3 linked regions of the Diceros bicornis minor genome follow. The protein of the gene in region 1 binds, or shares a complex with, the protein of each later gene. Links are inferred from orthologs where the notes say so. Each region holds a gene or a part of one and is shown in the gene's direction. Other genes may lie near its edges.

Region 1 (7,085 bases):
GTGTCCACATGCCACATCTGCTCCCAATTTATCCAGCCAAAGATACACACTGCCCTCTGATCTCTCTCTTTCTGTGTGTGTATACATGTCAGGTTGTCCTGACTCTGTCTTCTTCTATGGTTCCCTCTTCTCCCCACACTAATCCATCAACATACCAAGCCAACACATCTCAGATAAACTCTCCTTTCCCACTTTTGCTTGTTTTTCTGATGGCAGGATGAGTGGGGAAAAGGTTGGAGGCCAGCAGTTTCTTAATTTTAATCTCAGTTCTTACACTAATCCCATTTGACTTCTGAATAATACAGAATCTCACGGTTGGAAGGGATCCTAAAAGTTCTTCTATATCTAAATCTTTCCCAATATGCGACCATCTAGTCTAGATTGTTACATCTTAGTTAAGAATGTGTGAGTTTCTGAGGTGCGCTATTTCCTTTGTGGGGAATTGTACACTATTTTTTCTCACATCATGATAAAATTTCTTGCTATAGCTTTCTTCCACTACTTCTAAATCTACCACTTGAATCCACACAGAAAATGTCTATTCCCTCTGATTTACAATATCTCTTCAGTCATTTGGAAATAGCTATCATGTCTCTTTGTACCTTCTCATTTGTATCCCCAGTTTCTTCAATTATTTCTTATGACACAGTTTGGAGTTACTTTAAGATTTAGATGCTCTCAGCTGAATGTGTCCCAATTTGTCTTTTAACATGTCTCTAATTTTCTTAACATATGATGCTCAGTATAATTCAGCAATAAAAAGAAGTGAAGTACTGATACATGCTACAGCATGGATGAACCTTGAAAACCTTATGCTAAGTGAAAGAAGCCAGTCACAAAAGACCACATACTATATGGTTCCTTTTATATAAAATGTCCAGAATGGGCAAATCTGTAGAGACAGCAAGTAGATTCGTAGTTGACCAGGACTTGAGGGGATGAGGCGGGGGTGGTGGAAAGATTGGAGGATAATGGCTATGGAGTACAGGGTTTCTTTTTGGGGTGATGAAAATGTTCTAGAATTGAGTGTCATGATGGTTGTACAACTCTGTGAATATACTAAAAGCCACCGAATTGTACACTTTAAATGGATAAATTATATGGTGTGTGAATTACATCTCAATATAGTTGTTTAAAAAATATGATGTCCAGAAGGGAAAACAGTACTTTGAAGTAGATTGCTTTAACCTCTGTATTTCAATTTCATTCTCTACAACATTGATGAGTTAATATATCTGCTCTACCTCCTTGACAAGATTGTTGAATCACATTTTGCAACATCATAATTATGTAAATTATTAATTTGAATGACTCTTGCCACCTCATACGGTATTACTAAGACAATCTACTTGCTGGTAACTCACTTGTTTTGTTGGGTAAGAGATTTTTTTTTTAAATACCTATTACCCAATTCAGGAGAACGTAAGGAACACTTAGTACCCATTGTATAAAGTCCAACTCTTCACCTTAATATTTAAAGCTCTCTTTCAACTTTGTCCCACACTTCCTATCATTCTTCGCAGCCAAACTACATTTCAATGACAAAACAACTGCTTTCTCTAACATGTACATTACACATTAACCCTTTTAGCTGGTTATTCCTCTCAAACAAAATATATCCTATTATGGACTGAATGCTTGTGTCCCCCCCAAATTCATATGTTGAAGCCCTAACTCCAATATAAGGCTATTTTGAGGTGGAGCCTTTGGGAGGTAATTAGGTTTGGATAAGGTTATGGGGGTGGGGCCCCCATGATGGGATTAGTGTCCTTATAAGAAGAGGAAATGAGACTAGAGCACTTTCTCTCCACATGTGAGGGCACAGCAAGAAGGTGGCCATCTGAAAGCCAGGAGGAGAGTATTCACTGGGGAAATGAATTGGCTGGTATTTTGATGTTGGACTTCCCAGCCTCCACAACTGTGAGAAAGAAATTCCTGTTGTTTAAGCCAAACAGTCTATGGTATTTTGTTACAGCAGCCCAAGCTGACCAATACATACCCCTTGGAATTCCACAAAGATCCCCAGTCATGGCTTTCTTCTTCCTTCAAAAGGTTTTTCAAAACTTTCTTCTCTCCGAATTTCCCCTCATACTGATCGCTCCATTCCTATGCCTCCTCTCAGAAGTTTAGCTTCATATAAAGCTATGTTCTTATTCACAGAACTCTTTTCAGTTCTTATTCATCCATGTATTATATTTTGCCTCCTCACCTACTTGATAAGCTTCTCAAATGAGAGGGGTAATGTGTATAATTCTGTTATAATTTCTTTTCTTTAAAACACAAATTTTTTATCATTTCCACCAGTACTCAGTTATGATTGCTTCCTCTTTTCCTGTCATTGTAGGTCCCACACTCTATATGGCCTGAAGCTTATAGGAAAGACAATAACAGATAATCCAAAATGGCTAATACACAAACACTATGTTGAAAGTTCACTCCATCAAGTTTAATTCCAGAGTTTCTGAGGAACATTATCATTTAGAGTGCCAAGAAATACAAAGAGGGTAGAAGGTGACTAAGTACACTTTAAGGCTTGCTCCTTCTTGTTGTTATATTATGAACAGTTGAGGCAGTTCTTGAAATGGCATCCCTTGAGCCCAGCAGCTTTGTAGGAGAACAGGAAAGGGCACGTCCAGTAGGGAGGACACTGACAGTCTCTGCTTGCCCACAGGCCTGGCCTACGTGACCCGCTCTAAAGCTATTCTGACTGTAGCATCAGCTCAGCCTCACACTGGAAAACTCAAGCCCAGTTTTACCAATGGCTTTTAGAAAATAAGACTTCCAGATGCAAACCAAAGACCAATTTCCTAAATTTTAATACATCAAAGAAGATATTTTTCTTTGCTACCAAGCCCATGTTCTACGCAAACAACATTTCCTGAGATGTATGTAAGGGAAAGGTGCAGTGCGCAGTGACAATGGCAGGAACAGACCAGAACTTAAACCTATGCTCACTAATTGGATGCTGAGCAGAATGCCTCAGCAGGCCCCAGGAGCTGATCTCCCCCAGACCATTACAGCTGGGAGGATGGAGTGATGGTGTGGATCAACTCCTCATTTTCTGGGCAAGGAAGCTAAGGCCTGCAAGAAGGAATGACGTGCCCAGTGGCTTATGATTTACTCACATGGTCATAAATATCGGTTCAAACTCGGCTCGGAAGCTTACATGCCGCCCCAGAGGAGAGCAGATTTGTTTGTGTGGGTGTGTTTTATAGCTCTTGTCATTTTAAAATACACTCGTTGATTCTTTGTCTCACATTTTCTCAGGTCGTGAGGAAATCCTTCCAAATGTGCTCTGCTTGTGAAAAGAAACGTGAGAATGGATGGAAGGAGGAAAGGAAGGAAAGGAACACGGAAGGGAGGAAGCTGACCTCCTATCCTCCTCCGCAGACTTTTCTATTCCCCCGTATCCCCAGCTCTGCTTTCGCCACGGCTCCGTTCCCTCCCCAGCTCCCTCTATTTTCCACAGCCCAGGAGGCCGGCCGACTGGGCTTTGCGTTTCGGAAACCCTCGCGCTGCTGCCGGCGCTGGGCATGCTCAGACGCCCAGGACGGGCTTTTTTCCCCTTCCAACTTTGGCAGCTCTCCCACCCGCAGCCCGAAGGGGCAGGTCCGCACAGCTCCCTCGGTGCGAGCAAACCCGGAGAAATTATCCGCGCCCGCGAAGGCAGCGAGATGGGGGGGCTCGTTGGGCAGCTCCGGGTTTCGAGGGCGCTTCCAAGGGGCGCGCGACGCCCGGGTGGCCGCCCTCCGCGCGGGGGCGCGCGCCCGTTGAAGGGGCCGCTGTCCGAGGACACGTGCGCGGGAGCGCGCTCCGGGAGTGGTCGCGGGGCCGGGATGGTGGGACCGGCGGAGGGGGCGGGCGGAGCCGCGGGGGGCGGGAGCGCGCTGTGGGAGTGGTCTCCGGGGGCGGGTGGGCGGGGCGAGGATGGTGGGAGGGGCGAGGCCTCGGTGGGGGCCCGGGGGCGGGGCGGAGCGGGGCGGGGCCACAGGGGGCGGGAGCGCGCTCCGGGAGTGGTCGCGGGGCGGGGCGGCGGCGGCGCGCGGACGCCAGCTCCCTGGGCTTCTGGAGGCTGCGGCGCGGCCAGCGGCAGGAGGCGGCGGTAGCTGTTGCCAGAACCCCGACACCCGGACTTGTGGGGCACCGAGGGGCACCGGGAGCGGAGCGGCCGTGGGGAGCAGCGCGGTGTGCGGCCCCTTTGTGGACAGCGCCTTCCCAGCCGGTCAGGAGGGGCGGCGGAGGTGGCCGGCGCCGGGAGGGTGGATCGCCCGCGTCCGGAGAGGAAGCGCTCACCTGCGTTGGGGACTGCACGGCCGGAGGGCGCCGCGCTCTCGCTCGGGCACGATGGGCTGCACGCTGAGCGCCGAGGACAAGGCGGCGGTGGAGCGCAGTAAGATGATCGACCGCAATCTGCGCGAGGACGGCGAGAAGGCGGCGCGCGAGGTCAAGCTGCTGCTGCTCGGTAAGGGCCGGCGCCGGCCCGGGGCCCGGGGGGCGGCGGGGGCGGGCGCGGACTCCGGGGCGTGCGGAAACCCGGGGGACGTGTCCCGGCCGCCGATGGCGCGTGTGGTAGTGCCCGAGATGGTGTCCGAGGGAGCGTGTCCGGTCCTCGTCCCCCCTCCTCGGCCGGGGAGGACTCCCCGCGGTGGGCGGGAGCTTCGCTTCCCTCGCTCGCGCTGGTGTGGACCCCCGAGGGCCGAGGAGTGGATCTCGAGGAAGCCCTTTTCTTTGGAGTTAGCTCCGCCGTGTGAGGATGAAGGGCACCCGCACAGTAAGAGCCCCCCACCCTTCCTACAAGGTGCGCTCTCGCGGTTGTGGTTCCCCACGGGCAGGAGCGCCAGGCTTTGTGAAGTCAGCGCACCTTCTGCGGGGCCTCCGTGGCTTGCAGCGTGTCTCCACCGGCGACTCGGTCAGTGTGAAGGGAGCACTGATTGCATTGACCCCCCGTGAGAAAGTAGGCTATGCTGGGTGCTCCATTTCTGTTACTGTGGGGTCCCGGAAACCACCAGAGTTGGTAACATTTGCTCTAGTGAGATGCTCGAGCGGAGAAAGCCGATGGGAAAGGTGCGAGAGGGTCACGCCGAAGACGGCACTCCTGGCCGCCTCACTTTCGGATGGATGAGGTTGGCCAGGTACTCGCCAAGGCTTTCATTTGTTCTTAGCATTGTTCTCTTAGTGAAACGCTGTGTGAAGGTCTTTTCCAGTTGTTTGAAAGGAGAGAACATAAAAAGAGTGAGCCAGGGTTTTGACTGAGGGATACATTAGGAAATATTCACAGCCTAAGATTTGTAGTTGTATGAGTTAGGGTTTTCTTTTGTTTGCTTGTTTCCCCCCCCCACCCTATAGTATTTAAGTAGATGAAAGGTTTCTTACAATCTTAATTTGCACTCTCAGCGGTTGCTTTTAATTTTATAACAGTTATAATAAAAGGCAAATATTGCACAAGCTTCTGTTTCATTAGTTTAATGACTGCAGGAAAAATGGTGGTTTTTTTCCTCCGTTACTAGTAGGCTTAGAAGCAGAAACTTGGCGTGACTAAAAGTAATAATGATCTGAGTCATTTTTCGAGCGAACTGTGAAATAACTTTGCATTTTAAAGACCTGGCTGGCTTTCTTCACCCCCACCCCCAACATTAATCTTTCTCAGTTAATACTGTTTGCTTAAGTTTTTACATTAATAAGAAATACCCTATTTTGACGAGGGGAGTGTATTTTTAGTGTATTGAACATAAAAGAGACACACCTTGGTATGGAAACATGTAGATGCTCCTCTTATGAATTGAATGTACTTGAGGCAAAAATGCAAAAAAAATGATTAAAAAGTTATTTTCCTGCAGTTTCTGCACTCCTGCTCTGATATATTATTTCAGTGTATTGTAGTGTGACTCTTAGTTTGAGCCAGCCGTCCACCATGTTTAAAGCAGTTGAAAAATGAACCCTCTGGTGTTATTTTATGCTTTAACTAGATGTCTGTTAGAGAGAGACGGACTGGGATAAAGGTCCAGGAAGTTGGGTTTTGCTTCTACTCAGAAGAGATCGGTGTTTCTCAGTCTTAGCACTGTTGGCATTTTGGGTAGGATGCTTCTTTGTGGTGCAGGCTGTCTTGTGCATTGTAGGATGGGAGCATGTCTTTGGCCTCTACCCATTAGATACCCGTTGTAGCCCCCTCAACCTGTGACCCTTGAAAATGTCTTCATATATCCCCAGATGTCCTGTGGGGGCAAAAATTAACCTCTGCGAGAACCACTGTTCTAGATTAATAAGTAAATATAGTTGAATGTGTAATGAAGAACCAAAAGTTGCATCTCTATAGCCAACTATAAGAGAGAGTTATGAGAAAGTGTAGCAGAGTCGTGATTTTCAGAAGAAATTGCGGAATTTTTGTTTCTCTGTGCCAGTAATGTCAGAAAGATTTCTAAATGATTTTTGAAATCTTTAGGTAACTGAGTTCCGTCTGCTGTCTTCTCTGGCTTGAGTCTTTTCCCTGCATCTCTTCTCTGTGTGGAGATTCTGCCGCATTCCTGGCTTGTGGGCCCAGCACTCCTCCTCCTTCCCCTCAGTGTCTGTCTTACTCCCACTGAACTCTACCCTTTTGCCCAGAATTCTAGCACCCTAGTTCCTATAAACAGAATACTGGCTTACTTATTTAGGAAATCATAATTCTTGAAATGTTTGAAAACATTTCTTTTTCCCCTGATTTGACTTTAGCGGGAAGTGTTGACCTTTGGTTCTTTTCTGGATGTTTAACGTCATATATATAAGCAAGTCAGTGGAATCGTTCCATATAAAACACGGCAACCGAATCAACTAGGAATATAAAATGGTTTCCAGGTAATCTGTAACGAGGGTCACTTCCATTTACATCAGGTCTTCTACCTCTTCTATTATTTTGTTTTTCTCATCACATGATTTTTTTTTTCATTTAAGGCAAAAAGCCTCTAAAATATATTTAAGACATATATTAAATAGTTCATTATATTGCATTTTTCCTTACGGCCTGTATTGTCTTTTTAGACATCTGGGTTGAAAGATTCAGGTATGAAACACACATTATTAGTAAAAAGCTTTGGGTAGTGGGTATCTAT
Region 2 (7,060 bases), on another chromosome or scaffold:
CCCCACCAGTGGCCTCGTACAAGTGTCTCTCCTGTTCCTCCATCTCTTCTTGACTCAGAGCTGGACCCATGTTGCACTTGAGCTCTGTCCCCATAGTCTTGGTCGCCAATTTCTTTTCCAGATATAAGGTTAGAACCTCCTGTTGATAATATGACAATGTCAAATCCAGGGCCTCTTTGTACTTGTGAAAGCTTCGTGTGGTGGTTCACTTGCTCATTCATCTGCCAAAGGCTGGGGGTCAGAACCTGGGCTCTGAAGCCGGGAGCCTGGGTTTGAATGCAGCTCTGCCACTTCCTAGCTGTGCAAACCTGGGCAAATTATTTAACACTTGTGAGCCTCAGTTTGCTCAACTGAGTAACAGTTGATAGTATCTATGTCATCAGAGAACATTGAATGAGACCATGTAAGTAAAATGCTTAATATTAGTAACTGATATAATGGAAAGTGCTTAAGAGGCCCTGGTTGATTTATTGGTGTTATACACTCAATGCTGACTTGATGGCCCCTGGTTCACTGAGGCCCCTTTCTGTTCATTCATTTCTCAGTATACTGAGCGCCTTCTCTCTGCCAGGCATTGTGATGGGGGCTGGAAATGCAGAGATGAGAAGTGGAGGTCCCTGCCCTCCATGAGCTTAGAGGATAACAGGGGAGGGCTGTATAAACACAGCATGTTGGGGTCCCAGAGGGGGCGGTGTCTGGGAAGTTTACTCAAGGTTCTGCTTGAGAACAGTCTTGAAGGAAAAGTGCCTGTGTTCTAGGTGGGCATGGCGGAGAAGGGCTTTCCTAACTGGAAAAGCGGGGAACGGAGGGGAGCAGAGGTGAAAGAGCAGGCCTCAGAGCCGCCAGTGCTCAGCATGGGGGCGCTTATGGTTTCCGGGGAAACCAGGCAGCAAGACACTGTGGGGGCTGGGAGACCCCATCGCCATTTCAAGAATGGGGGCAACTTGGAGGCTGTGGGGGGACTCACATCTGGGGATGAGTTAGGAGGCTGAGGCGTCTCTATGTGAGAGATGATAAGGGAACTTACTTAACCAAGATTGGCTGTGGGTTCTGGTGGGGGAATGGATAAGTGAGGTGACAGGCCACCGTGGCCTCTCTGTCCTCTGTGCCCCACTGCCCTTTGGTGTTCAATCTAGAGTGAAAAGGACACTCAGGGCCCATCCTAGGCCAAAATGTTAAGTGACTGTGAAAGCCTTTCCCCTCACCCCTCAAATTGCCCCCTGAGCAGGCAATGGGCTCTACTCAGAAAATGTAAGGACAGGGCTTCCCATGTTCACAGAGAGGAAATTCCCCAGATATGTGCAGAGAATTCTGGAAACAGAATTCCCATATGGGAAGAGGTGGCAAGGTTGGTGGCTGCAGGTGTGTCCCCCGCCTCTCCATCATCCTGTGGTTTATTCTCTCACGGCTATCCTCTCCCTAGCACGCTGCTCTTGTGACTAGTGCTTGGACAAAACCCCTCTCTTTGTTGTCTCTAACCAGCTGAGATGGGCTGGTCCCAAGAGGAGTCACCTGGGTCCTAAAGGAGAAGAAAGGGGCAAGAATCCAAAAACACATGCCAGTCAGTTTCCAGCTCCAGCTGTCAAATCTGTCCCTAACACCTCGGTCCACTTCTGGTGGGCTGGATCCATCGCTCGGGCACTTTTCCTGGCCTCCACCGCCTTTTCCCTCCCACCAGCTTCTGGCCCATAACCACACAAGGGCCCCTCTCTCTTTCTTCCCAAATGCAGGAGCTGTCCATTGTCTGTCCAGCTCTCAAACATAGAACAAACGTCTGTGCTCCTCTCTGCCACGGGCCCCCTCCCTCCGGCCTTGGCCACCAGGGCAGACCTGGGGCTGCCACGCCCTCCAGGAAATCACTCCTTGGCTGTACAATTGCCACAACCAGGCAATAGGACTCGTCCCTACACCAGAGGGTCTTTCTCTTATATAAGGTTATTTGGTGCTACTGGTGGTTGAGGGTCAAGGGGAGGGTACATTTTTTACAGTGAGTCACTAAGATTCAGCGATTGCTTTAGTGAGAACCACTTGCGTGGGTAGCACGCAGCCTCTTAGAAATCACTCTCTGTGGCTTCCTTCTCCCAAGCAGAGATAAAGAAAGCAGTGGCAGTAGAGACATTCATGAGAGGCCACACTAGAGGCTGGCAAAGCCTCACAAGTTCCCACAGTGCAGGGATGTGGGTAGAGCTAACACCGAAAAGTGCCAGAGACACAGAAATGCAGTTGGAAAGGGCTCCCCCTTCATGCCTGGGGAGTTCACTCAGGGCGAAATGGCAAGTCTAGTGGGGATAAGCAAGGCTTCAGACAGACTTGGGCCGACTTGGGATGCGGCGGGGGATCAGTGGGTGATGTAAAAGCAGAACAACCGAAGAAGACCCTGGCAGGCCCCGTGCTGAGGCATCTCGCTGGTGCCCCATGAAAAGTGTTAGTAAACAACAGAATGACACTGTTGTTATCGTTGAATTTTATTTTTGGCTGTACATAGATTGGTGTGTAAGGTAAATATTATAAACCCTTCAATCCACTGTGTGGGCTTAGGTCCAACTGTTCCTTTTGCTGTCTCTCTAAATAACCCCTTTGGGCGTCACTGAGAAACACTTGAACTAGGTACCCCAAATAACGATTGCATTCAAGTGTCTGGTTCCCAGGAGTTGAGACCAGGTGAGCCACTTCAGGGACAGGGTGTGATTCCCAGCAGACACTTGTTCCTGCAGGGTGGGGGTGGGGGGCGGGGCACGAGGGGAGGAGGGTATGCCATGTGACTATGGGCACATGGTACCCTTTCCCTCTGTTCTGCATGGCTGGTTATCCTGTTGTCCTGTTGTTCCTCAAATAGATTTGACACAGGCTGGTTGCTAGTGTGGAGGCCTGGTGGGTATGTGGGCGGAGAAGGGGAGACGGAGGGTCAGCAGCTGTGGTGCTTATGGGAGGTGCTGAAGTTTTGCTCTTCTGAGCAGGGAATCTTAGCTTATCCCTTTGGCAAAAGATCTTTGATACAAAGGCTGGGTTCCAGCTGTGCCCAGCAAAGAGTCAACTCATGCGGCCGAATTCTCAGTGCTTGCTGTTCTGCACTGTCTTTGCCTGTTCAGGCTGATATAACAAAAAACCAAAGGCTGCATGGCTTATAAACAACAGAAATTTGTTTCTCATAGTTCTGGAGGCTGGGAAGTCCAAGATCAAGGCAGCAGCAGAATCGTGTTTGATGAAGACCCACGTCTTGGTTCATAGATGGTGGAAAGGACAAGAGAAATCTGTGGGATCTCCTAAGAACACTATTCCCATTCATGAGAGCTTCACCCTCATGACCTAATAATCTCCCAAAGGCCCCACCTCCAAATATCATCGCCCTGAGCATCAGATCTCAATGTATCAATTCTGGAGGGACACAAACATTCAGCCTATTGAATGCATTAAGAAAGAATAAATTCTGGCTAAGGTTAGAGGCTGCCACCAAAGTCTATTGCTTGTTCCTCTGTGGTCTCCCTTTGATTCTCTGTGCTAAGCTAGCAGAAAGCCAGAATATTACGCAGTCAGTGCTCCCAGCTCCTCTCCCACCCAGTGCTGCACTTTCATCCGGTCCCTGAGTCAATGAATGTTGAGCCTTCTCCATGCCACTCACACCCCCTCCTCTGTTCTTTCCATCTTGCTGAGTGTTCTTGGCTCTGTGCTTCCTCTTGGCCCATCTCACTTCCTGAAACACCCCTGAAGAGGGCTGCTTATCTTGATGGAGCTTGAGTAGCCCTACGGAGGCAGGGGAAGGCAGAGGCCTTGAGCGTGTCTGTCTGGGGAACTAAGAGCAGCAGCACTTTCAGATTCAGCCCACATAGAACTGTCCCCCAGGATTCCAGGAAGCCGGGGATGTGTGGCCTGCAAAGGGGCTGGAAGTAATTGCCTTGTGATGGGATCTTTCTAAGGAGAAGGAGTCCTCTAAGAGAGCCCCCACCAGAGAAGAGAAGGAATGGTTAAGTTGTGAGTTTTAGACTGTTGCTGCTGCACCTGGAGCTCTGGCAAGATGTCTGGCAAGAGCTAGGCTCGCTGGCCCACACGGATCCTGTTGGCATGCCTGTCTCCTGGGAGGCTCCTCTGGGAAAGCAAGATGCCTGTCAACAGCACTGCCCTGTCGTTGGCCACCATTACCTACATCACTGTGGAGATTCTCATTGGGCTCTGCGCCATAGTGGGCAACGTGATGGTCATCTGGGTGGTCAAGCTGAACCCTAGCCTGCAGACCACCACCTTCTATTTCATTGTCTCCCTAGCCCTGGCTGACATTGCTGTTGGCGTCCTGGTCATGCCTTTGGCCGTTGTCGTTAGCCTGGGCATCACGACCCACTTTTATAGCTGTCTTCTCATGACCTGCCTGCTACTGGTCTTCACCCACGCCTCCATCATGTCCTTGCTAGCCATTGCTGTGGACCGATACCTGCGGGTCAAGCTCACAATCAGGTAACCTGCTTGAGAGGGGTGGTGTGCGGCAGTGATAGAGGTGCCTGGGAAGTGGGGCTACAAAGTTCAGATCCCAGACTCTTTGAGTGAAAACAAATCCAAGTTGGCCTCTGCACTTGAAAGAGGGCACTCACTTTCTTCTAACCATTTGGTGTGTGAGAGGTTTAGCAACAATGAGCTGAGATTCGGGAACTAGAAAAAGAAGAATGCTCCCATCGCTCTCCACTGACTCTGGGAGTGTACGTTTGATCCCCCGAGGAAGCTAAAGATGATGAAAGCTTGATGCATTTTTAATTAGTAAAAAATGCTCTTGGCTTTTAGAAATGATAGAAATCTACTAGATAAGATAAGGAGCAGACACATAAGAATAAGAGGAGCTAAATTGATGGTTCTGTTCTTGGCCAATGTAGGTTATTGTAAAGTTATTTTAACTTTGCTTCCTCTTCCATGTTGAGAAGGGGGTCAAAAGATTTCTCCTTTGCAAAAAGTAGTAACAACCTTTCCTGTGACCATGTGAACAGAACGTCCTGCCAAATGGAGAAATCTGATTGCCCAGGTGTCCTGAACTGCGTCTCCTCCTGTCTCATGTTTCTCCTCCCTCCTCCCGGGGAAAGAGCCTGGTGAGGGAGCTACAAACAAGCTTTTGATACAAACAAGCCTGGGTTCAAAACCTAGATCTTGAGATCTGATCTTGGGCAGGTTATTTAACTTTCTCTGCTTCAGTTTCTCATCTTCTCATAGTGGTTAAGATGCTCTGAACTCAGACCTCTTTTCACTTTTAGCTCCACCACTTCTAGCTTGCACAAGTTACTTACTTGTCTGTTTCATTTTTTTCACTTATAAAATGGGAATAATAATTACACCTTCCTCATACGAGTAAATGAGTTAACCCATGTAAATCTCTTAGAAAAATGCCTGGCACACAGTTGATGCTCAATAAATGGTAGCTATAACTACTATTATTTTCACTATTACCATTAATGAAATGGAGATTATCATAAAATATCTCCAGTTTGTTGTGGGATTTCTTTGAGATAAAGTCTACTGAGTACATAGTTAGTACTTAACGAGATCAGTTTCCTTCTTCCAGTCTATATAGGATGTTGTCAGGAAGGATGGTTTAAGGAGAAATGGTGACTCTCATTGGATGAGGCTTTGAAGGTCCCAGAAGCACTTCAACACGACCTTTGCAACTCCATAGACTAAACATCAAGTGTGGATGCCGGTGCAAACAGAGACATGGGGGCATGCACACATTGAGGGGAAAAGAGGGAGAGGCATAGTATAATTTATGGGCATCAGCACAATAGCCAAAATAAACACTTGAGCACAGGAGGCAAACGTGCTTTGAGGGGATCATTTCTCACCAGGTAGGTGGTTCTAGGGACTTAGATAACTCTTACCTCCCAGGAATTGAAGAATTCTTGGGCTGGAAATAGAGCTGTGAGTGGTGCGTGCAAGCACGTGACTCTAGGCAACATATTCCTGATCCATTCTAGATAGTACTTCTTTAGAAGAGTCCCCAGAGAAGTTTGCTGGATTTTTCTCCAATCATTGTCTGCTCCTGTTGTCTTCATATCCAGCAGAGTTCAGCTGAAATCACCATAGAATGCCAATGCTCTCCAGTCCCAGCTCCCCCCATCCTTTAGCACTTCCTGCTGTGAGCTCACTGACTCTCTTCCATTCAAACAGATACAGGAGGGTCACCACTCAAAGAAGAATATGGTTGGCCCTGGGCCTTTGCTGGCTGGTATCATTCCTGGTGGGATTGACCCCCATGTTTGGCTGGAACATGAAACTGACCTCCGGGTACTACAGAAATGTCACCTTCCTTTCATGCCAATTCCGTTCTGTCGTGAGGATGGACTACATGGTCTACTTCAGCTTCTTCACTTGGATTTTCATCCCCCTGGTTGTCATGAGTGCCATCTATCTTGACATCTTCTACGTCATCCGGAACAAACTCAATCTGAACTTTTCTGGCTCCAAAGAGACAGGAGCATTTTATGGACGGGAGTTCAAGACAGCCAAGTCTCTGTTTCTGGTTCTCTTCTTGTTTGCTTTGTCCTGGCTGCCTTTATCCATCATCAACTGTATCATATACTTTAATGGTGAGGTACCACAAATTGTGATGTACTTGGGCATCCTGCTGTCCCATGCTAACTCCATGATGAACCCTATCGTCTATGCTTGTAAAATAAAGAAGTTCAAGGAAACCTATCTCTTGATCCTCAAAGCCTGTATGATCTGCCAATCCTCTGATTCCTTGGATCCAAGCATTGAGCAGACTTCTGAGTAGTTAGCCATGAGAGATGACTCTCCATCCCATTCACCTTCAGATTCAGCATCAACAAACACTTGAGGTCCTATCCACCTGGGCCAGAGGCTTTCACATCCTTGATTCCTTCCACTGAGGTGGGGAACATTTGGCTCGCTGCCTCCAATTTTACTTTTCCTACTACTCTCTTCCTTTAATTCTATTTTTTTTCCTTGTCCTTCTCTAATTCAATTTTATGGATGCCTGACTTGAGGACAATGTTCTGTAGTTATTACTGCCTGTGTTCCTCCTTCCCAAACAGGAGGAGAAGTCATGGAATCTGAAGGATGCCTCATT
Region 3 (6,979 bases), on another chromosome or scaffold:
ATTTCTTTAAATATATCAAATATACATATTTATAATTTACAACTGGTAATTCTTGTTTCAATGTCTTTATGAGTTTGATTCTGTTATCTGTTTTTTCTGCTAATTCTTGTATAAGATGCCTTATTTCTTTGTATGATTTGTGATTTGATTGAAAGTTCACATTTCTTGGAACTTTCTCTATGGAAATCTTTGGGGTCTGGGTTAAGTTGGTGTCTTAGTCAACTTGGGCCAACAAAATATCATAAACTGGATTGCTTAAACAAAACATTTATTTCTCACAGTTCTGGAGGCTGGGATGTCCAAGGTCAAGGTTCCCGCAGATCCAGTGTCTACTTCATAGAAGGGCATCTGCTCTCTGTATCTTCACATGGTGGAAGGGGCAAGGTTTCTCTCTGGAGTCTCTTTTATAAGGGCACTAATCCCATGCATGAGTGCTTCACCCTCATGACCTAATCACCTCCCAAAGGCCCTATCTCCAAATACCATCACACTGAGGATTAAGCGTAAACATGTGAGTTTAGGGGAAACACAAACATTCAGTCTTTAGCAGTAATTTTCTTTTCTACTTTTTGTTCTGAAAAATTCCAAATTTCAATAAAATGTAAAAGAGTAATATATGAATGGTATAGTACAAGAATAGTATATATATGCTATATATATCTTCACCTAAATCCAATTGTTAACATTTGGTTTGTATTTCTCTCTTTATCTCTGTCTTTTGCTGAACCATTTGAATATAAGTTGCAGAAGTCATGGTTCTTTACTCTTAAATAGTTCAGCTTGCATTTCCTAAAAATAAAGAAATTCTCCTACATAACCATAATTCCATGTCACATCTAAGAAAATTAACAATAATTCCATAATATCATCTAATATACAGTCTATATTCAAATTTCCCCAATTGTTCTTAAATGTCTTTTATAGTCTCTCTCTCTCCTTCTCTCTCTCTGCTTCAGGACTCCATCAAGATTCATGTAGTTTTTTTTGGTTTGTTTTTCATGACAGTGACATTTACGAAGAGTCTGGCCTAGTCACCTTGTAGAACGTTTCAAATTCTGGATTTGATTCAGAGCACGCTTTTAAAAAATAAAAATCAGGAGCCAGCCTGGTGGCATAAGTTTAAGTTATGGTTTAAGATCGCATGCTCTGCTTCGGTGGCTTGGGGTTCGCAGGTTCAGATCCTGGGCACAGACCTATGCACCACTCATCAAGCCATACTGTGGTGGCATCCCACATACAAAATAGAGGAAGATGTTAGCTCAGGGACAATCTTCCTCAGCAAAAACTGGAAGATTGGCAACAGATGTTAGCTCATGGCCAATCTTTGTCACCAAAAAAAAATATATATATATATATATTTATATTATATATATAAATTTATTTATTTAATTTATAAATTAAATATATTTATAAATTATAATATAAATATATAAAATATAATATAAATATAAAATATAAGAATAAAATATAAAATATAATATAAATATATTTATAAATTATAATAAAATATAAACATATTTATATAATTTATAAATTAAATAAATATATATAATATATTATATATTATATATATAAATATAATATTTATATTTATATATATTTTTTATATTATTTATATATATATAATATATTATATATATATAAATATATTATATATATATATCAGATGAAGTTACTCCTATATTCATAATCTTCCACTGGCTACTATAAAATTTAGAAAATAAGGCCTGAGCTCATTATCCTGGCTTACAGAGGCCTGCATGATCTGGTGTGACTTCATCTTGTATGTTTTTCTCTCCTTCACTTCACTTAAGCCACAGTGGCCTTATTCCAGTTTCTCAAACCCACAAGGCTTGTCCTCACTGGACTTTGCATTAGCTGTTTTCTTTACTTAATGTGGTCTTCCTGAGCTTTGCTTGAAGGCTAGCTGCTTCTTGTGTAATTCAAATCTCAATTAGACACCATCTTCTCAAAGTGGCCTTTCTTACCTTGACCCTCAATCTAAAGTAGTCATTCAGTCACCCACTCTCACATAATCCTACTTTGAATTCTCTGCATGGTACCTATCACAACCTAATATTTTTCTCGTTGTTTACTTTTATTAAACTCCATGATATCAGGGGGTGTGTTCTGTCTTGCTCACTACTATATTCCCAGCACCTAGAACAGTTCCTGACACATAGCAGAAACTTAAATAAATACTTGCTAAATACTGCAATGGATAAGCTGAAGGATGAAAAGAAGGCAGCTATTTAAAGAGCTTGGGGGAAAAAATCTAAGGAGAGGGAACTGCCAGAGAGAAGACCCTGAGGCTTGGTCTGTTCTAGGGCCTGAAGAATGTCTTGTGTACTTAGAGTGAGCCAGGTGGAGAGGGAAATAAAGGAGAGTAGAGAGGTGGGCAGGGCAAGATGACTTAGGGCTCTGGGGGCCATGGTAGGGAATTTAGATTTTATTTTAAATCAAATGAGAAGTCACTGAAGATTTTCAAGTAGGAGAGGGACATAATCTGATTTATGCCTTTTAAAAGATAATTTAATTTGAGTAATTGGGAAGATGGAGATCAATATCAATGATAGAAAGTCACTGTAAGAGAAGATTTGCAGGAAATGATTCATTTTGAACATGTTGAATTTGATATATTGTACTTCCTTTGTGGCTTTCATATTAACACCCAAAAAAAGAATTTATGAGTAAGAAGGAATTATAATACCTACCTCTGAATAGTACAGCCAGCTGATTCAGTTGTTGTTTATAAGAACCTGCTACTAAAGGTAGTTGTTGCTAACAACAGGCACCATTTATTGAGCAGTCAGGCACTATGCTAACCACTTAACAATGTTTACATCACTGAAGCATCACAACCACCCTTATTAGAAGAGGACTTATTATCTATATTTTACAACTGAGGAAACTAAGGCTAAAGAAGATAAGTAACTCATTCAAGGTCAACCAGCCAGTAAGCGGCAGAGAAGGAACTCAAATTCCAGGTCTAGTTTGATGCCAAATCTATTTTAACCAATTTGCCATAACATGTTCCCAATAAGAGAAAGGCTGCTTGGATCACTGGTTGTGGCCATCATTCACAGAGAGATTGAAACCGAGGGTTTCTTTAATATATCCTTAAGCCTGTAGAAACACCTACCTGAGAAATAATCTAATTAAATTCGTCAAATTCTTTAGCCCAGAGAGACAAGTCTTGGAATTTTTGAGAAAAACAAACTGAGATCTATTTGTTGTTAACTCGATATGGAGAGGAAGTGAATGGAAATAAAACTTATTCTTCCCAGTGTATTTGGAATGTAGCTGCCTGAAACTGAGTAAAACGGCTACCCAATTTTGCTGGGAACCAGCGATTCTGCAGTCAACAGAAGTTTGCTTTTTTAACAGCTGGAAACGCCAGAACTGTGACACAGCCTCAAGAACTGAGGCTGCCTTGTTCAGACCTCCACACGGGTCCCTCTGTTCCTTTCACAGAGCCCTCTTTTTCTGAAACATCCCGCATATGCCGCTTGGGATACTCATTCTCTGGGCCAGGACCGAGTCCTAAGGGCAGGAGGCACTGGTTTTGGGCTCCCGTCTTTTCAAGGGGTCTGGACAAGAGCCCCTCCGAAGACCTCTTTCTGGACAATATTTATCGCTCCACCCTTCAGTGTCTGAAGAACAAAGACGACGACGGGAAAGAAACTTCAATTTGGTGCTGGAGGGCAGATCCCGGAGCAGCGGAGGACCGAATCACCCAACGCCCCCCTCAGCCTGACACGCAGAACCCCACCCACCCAGGACGGCGGAGGCCGCGCGGGGACGATCGCTCCGCCCCGCCCCGCCCCACCGCCGGCCATTGGCGGGTCCGAAAGTCGCGGGGCGGTGTCTGTTTGAATGTGAGCGACTGGAGCCGGGGCGCAGGCGCAGAGGAGGGGAGCGGTGAAGAGCGGGCGGCGCTGCGGACCCCTGGTTGGCGGTGGGACGTGTCGGGAGGCGAGGCGAGTCCAGGGAGGTCTGGCCCACGTGACCCGCCGGGGGCCGGGTCGGGGGGCGCGCGCCGGCCTCCCGCGGTGCCCCTGCCTGGCGAGGCGCCCGTGGCGCGCTGACACGCCTGGTGGAGGGGCTGCCGCCGCCCGCCCGTCGCCCGAGGCGGCCGCTGCTGCAGCTTCGCCGCGTCCCCCGCGCTCCCAGGACTCGCCGGCCCGCGGGAGGTGAGTTCTGAGGGGCGTTTGAGGGCGCCCCGCGGCGGGAGGTGACAGGGAGGGGGCGTGTGTGGGACGGGCTCTGTGTCCAGGGTCTGGGGGCGACCGCCTTTGTTCGGGGCGGGAGGAGCCGGGGGTGGTCGGCGGGGACGCGAGTGGAGAAACCAGAAACTCGGGATGAGGGACAGCTGCGTCCAGGACGAGCGCTCAGCTGCTTTCTGGTGGACGTTTTAAAATGAGAGTAAAGCTTACGAGCCTCGTTCCCTAGTATTTTTTAAATAAAAAGTTCCCTAGTATTTTTTAAATAAAAAGTATATTAGGATACAGTGATTTGTCACGTATTCTCAGTGTGAGTAACAAACCTGAAAAATCGGAATCCCTGTGGAATTAGACCCCAGGCAGATTGCAGTCACTTGTAGTCGTGCGCTGCTGTCTAAACCAGGCAGTTTTTGTCAAACACCTGCGTTTACAATATTTAAATTCATGATCTTTCGGACACCAGCCTGTCGATTTACCATAAAAATTGGTAGTTGCTGCAAAAAGTTTTAGTAAGCATGGAATGTTAAGAAAGCCCTTTGCTGAAAACCTATAGAATATCTTCGAATAGTAAAAAGTGGAAAATGTGTAATTTCCTTGTTTTGATGGTAACCAGTTAGATCATTTTAACTAGTATCATTTGAACTCCGTTAAAGAATAGGAGTAAGGATGGAAATTTTATTTGCCTTAATGCATAATTAAACCCTACCGTGGAGTTAAACGAAGTAGGCTCTTGGCTCTGCTTTCTTCGGCTTGTGTTGGAGTCTCTCGTCGTGGGTGTGGGAGGTTGATGTACCGACCGAGCTGAACTTTCAGGCTGCCACTTTAGAATGGTGCGCGGAAGATTTCCAGCCTGATAGCCGCCAGTGTGATTACCTCTGATAAATACCACTTTTGCTTGAATTGTCACTTTTCAAGAAGCAACTGTGGTTGATTTTTAGAACTGAGTAAGCAGCAGATCACTGTTGGTTGACATGGATGTGTGTGAGGGCTCAGGGGCTGAGGGACAGTCTCATACCTACTCTTCTTTACACCTTACCGTGGATTCGTTCTGACAAACTCTTTCTCAGGCTGTTCTTTACAATGTAAGGAGTGGAGCAGATACAAAGTAAAAAGTTGTGTGATATTGTTGAGAGGCATTTCCTCCGAATCCTCTTTGGCTAGATAAGCAGTTTAGGTGTGTTTTCTTCTGTTATTCAATCAGACATGCAGTGTTACAAATATTATATTTTAATATAAATCTCAGACTTGGTACTTAGGCTAATTGTAACACAGATAGGATATAGTCGTTTTTAAAATGGCCTCGTTCTTAAGGATAAAATATTTCTAAGATTTACCTAAAAGATAAAATTTTGTAATTAGTAATCTCTGGAATTTTAAAATTGAAAATCTGGTATAGATTTAGACTATCCTAAATCTATTCTAATAGACATGTTCTTTTTTATAATAATAATAATAGCTATTATTATTATTGCTACTATACTTTGAGTACTTTCGTTAAGTACCAGAGCCAGGCATTGGGTTAGGTGCTTTATAAATCAGATCTCCCATCATCACAACACATGTTGGTGTTGGATAAGTATCATTATGCCCAAACCAACTCTGCGAGTTTAGCTCAAGATCATATAACTAAGTTACTGTGCTGGGCTTCAAACCGTGGCCTGATCCCAAAGCACATGCTGTATCGCGTCTGTGTCTTTGTTTAAATCTCCTCCAGGTCTCTGGATTCCATTTGTAAGGACATAATCCTACTTTTAAGATGCCTGTAGGTGCTGTGTCTTGTTGTGAACTATGCAGAAATATTTCAGTCCTTAGTTTAGGACTTCTGTCTTCCTTTCAATACCTTATAAATCACAAATCCTTTTAATCATCTTTATAAAAACAGTAAAAAATTAAGAGTAAGACTTTCCTGAGTTATTTACATGAATATGAATATATTCTTTACTGTGGAGCAGAAACGTACTAAAGGCCGGTTTTCTCATTATTATAGGATTCTTTGCCGCTTCATAGTTTTTATCTTCTTTACGGGCAAGAAATCAAAAAAGTTTGTTGGACATCGATTATGTGCAAAGCAGTTTGCTTGGTGTTGTGAGATGACAAGAGAAGGCTTCCTATGCAGTAGTTGCTTCTGGAGTTTTTACAGTATCTTTCATCAGTCTCCCTGTCCTGCCCCATATGTTGCTGACAGTTTATCTTCCTAACACGGATCTAACTTTGCTATTCCTTTGTTGAAAAAATTACAGGGTTCCTCATTATGTAATATAGGGTTGAATATGTGCTTCAGCCATGTACGTATTCAGAGTCCCTCACAGTTTAGTGCGTTCTTGGACTTCTCTTTCTCTACTCCTGACCCAGTGTGCTTGTCCTGGCACACGTGCATTCTGTGCATTCCCATCCCCTTGCTTGACTTGAGCCATTTCCCTGTGCTGGAATTGCCTTTTCTCCGTTTGCCTAATAAGGTCTACCCATCCTGCAAGATGCAGTACAGATTTCCTTGCTTCCTCAAAGCTGTCCTTCGTCCTTTTTACTTAGAATTATTCTTCCCGTATCATCTCATAACATTACTGACTTGAACTTTTCCACAGAATGGTGGTAACTTTTGGAAGGAGAAGACGGAGTTATATTTCCTATGAAGAATTCTGACTTCAAAGTCTCTAGGGATCCTCTTTAGGCATTTATAATCCTTTTGCATTTGGGATTTATTTCTGCTTAAAATTGTGTTTGAAACCAGTTTTGCCTTTTTAAAGTCCTTCTGTTAA

The links. The genes of interacting proteins can lie anywhere in the genome.
Region 2: the proteins of GNAI1 (region 1) and ADORA3 are in contact, whole or in part, in a cryo-EM structure (PDB 9EBH), measured with the Homo sapiens proteins. The link is inferred for Diceros bicornis minor from reciprocal best matches to the Homo sapiens genes GNAI1 and ADORA3. Residues at the interface, in NP_002060.4 of Homo sapiens: Arg24, Glu28, Arg32, Asp193, Leu194, Phe336, Thr340, Ile343, Ile344, Asn347, Leu348, Asp350, Cys351, Gly352, Leu353, Phe354; in NP_000668.1 of Homo sapiens: Gln44, Thr47, Arg108, Arg111, Val112, Thr115, Val116, Tyr118, Lys119, Arg120, His124, Ile204, Thr228, Ser231, Leu232, Lys285, Ile286, Lys288.
Region 3: GNAI1 (region 1) and GPSM2 share a complex: the UniProt entries of both Homo sapiens proteins name them as parts of the spindle orientation complex. The link is inferred for Diceros bicornis minor from reciprocal best matches to the Homo sapiens genes GNAI1 and GPSM2.

The regions. Positions count from the first base shown.
Region 1 is NC_080742.1:17,728,105-17,735,189, forward strand, and holds the start of GNAI1 (guanine nucleotide-binding protein G(i) subunit alpha-1), read left to right. Parts: upstream 1-4,064; 5' UTR 4,065-4,344; coding exon 4,345-4,462; intron 4,463-7,085. UniProt on the Homo sapiens protein: Guanine nucleotide-binding proteins (G proteins) function as transducers downstream of G protein-coupled receptors (GPCRs) in numerous signaling cascades.
Region 2 is NC_080743.1:44,415,792-44,422,851, reverse strand, and holds the start of ADORA3 (adenosine receptor A3), read left to right. Parts: upstream 1-4,049; 5' UTR 4,050-4,096; coding exon 4,097-4,446; intron 4,447-6,138; coding exon 6,139-6,745; 3' UTR 6,746-7,060.
Region 3 is NC_080743.1:42,058,543-42,065,521, forward strand, and holds the start of GPSM2 (G-protein-signaling modulator 2), read left to right. Parts: upstream 1-3,968; 5' UTR 3,969-4,193; intron 4,194-6,979. UniProt on the Homo sapiens protein: Plays an important role in mitotic spindle pole organization via its interaction with NUMA1. Required for cortical dynein-dynactin complex recruitment during metaphase. Plays a role in metaphase spindle orientation.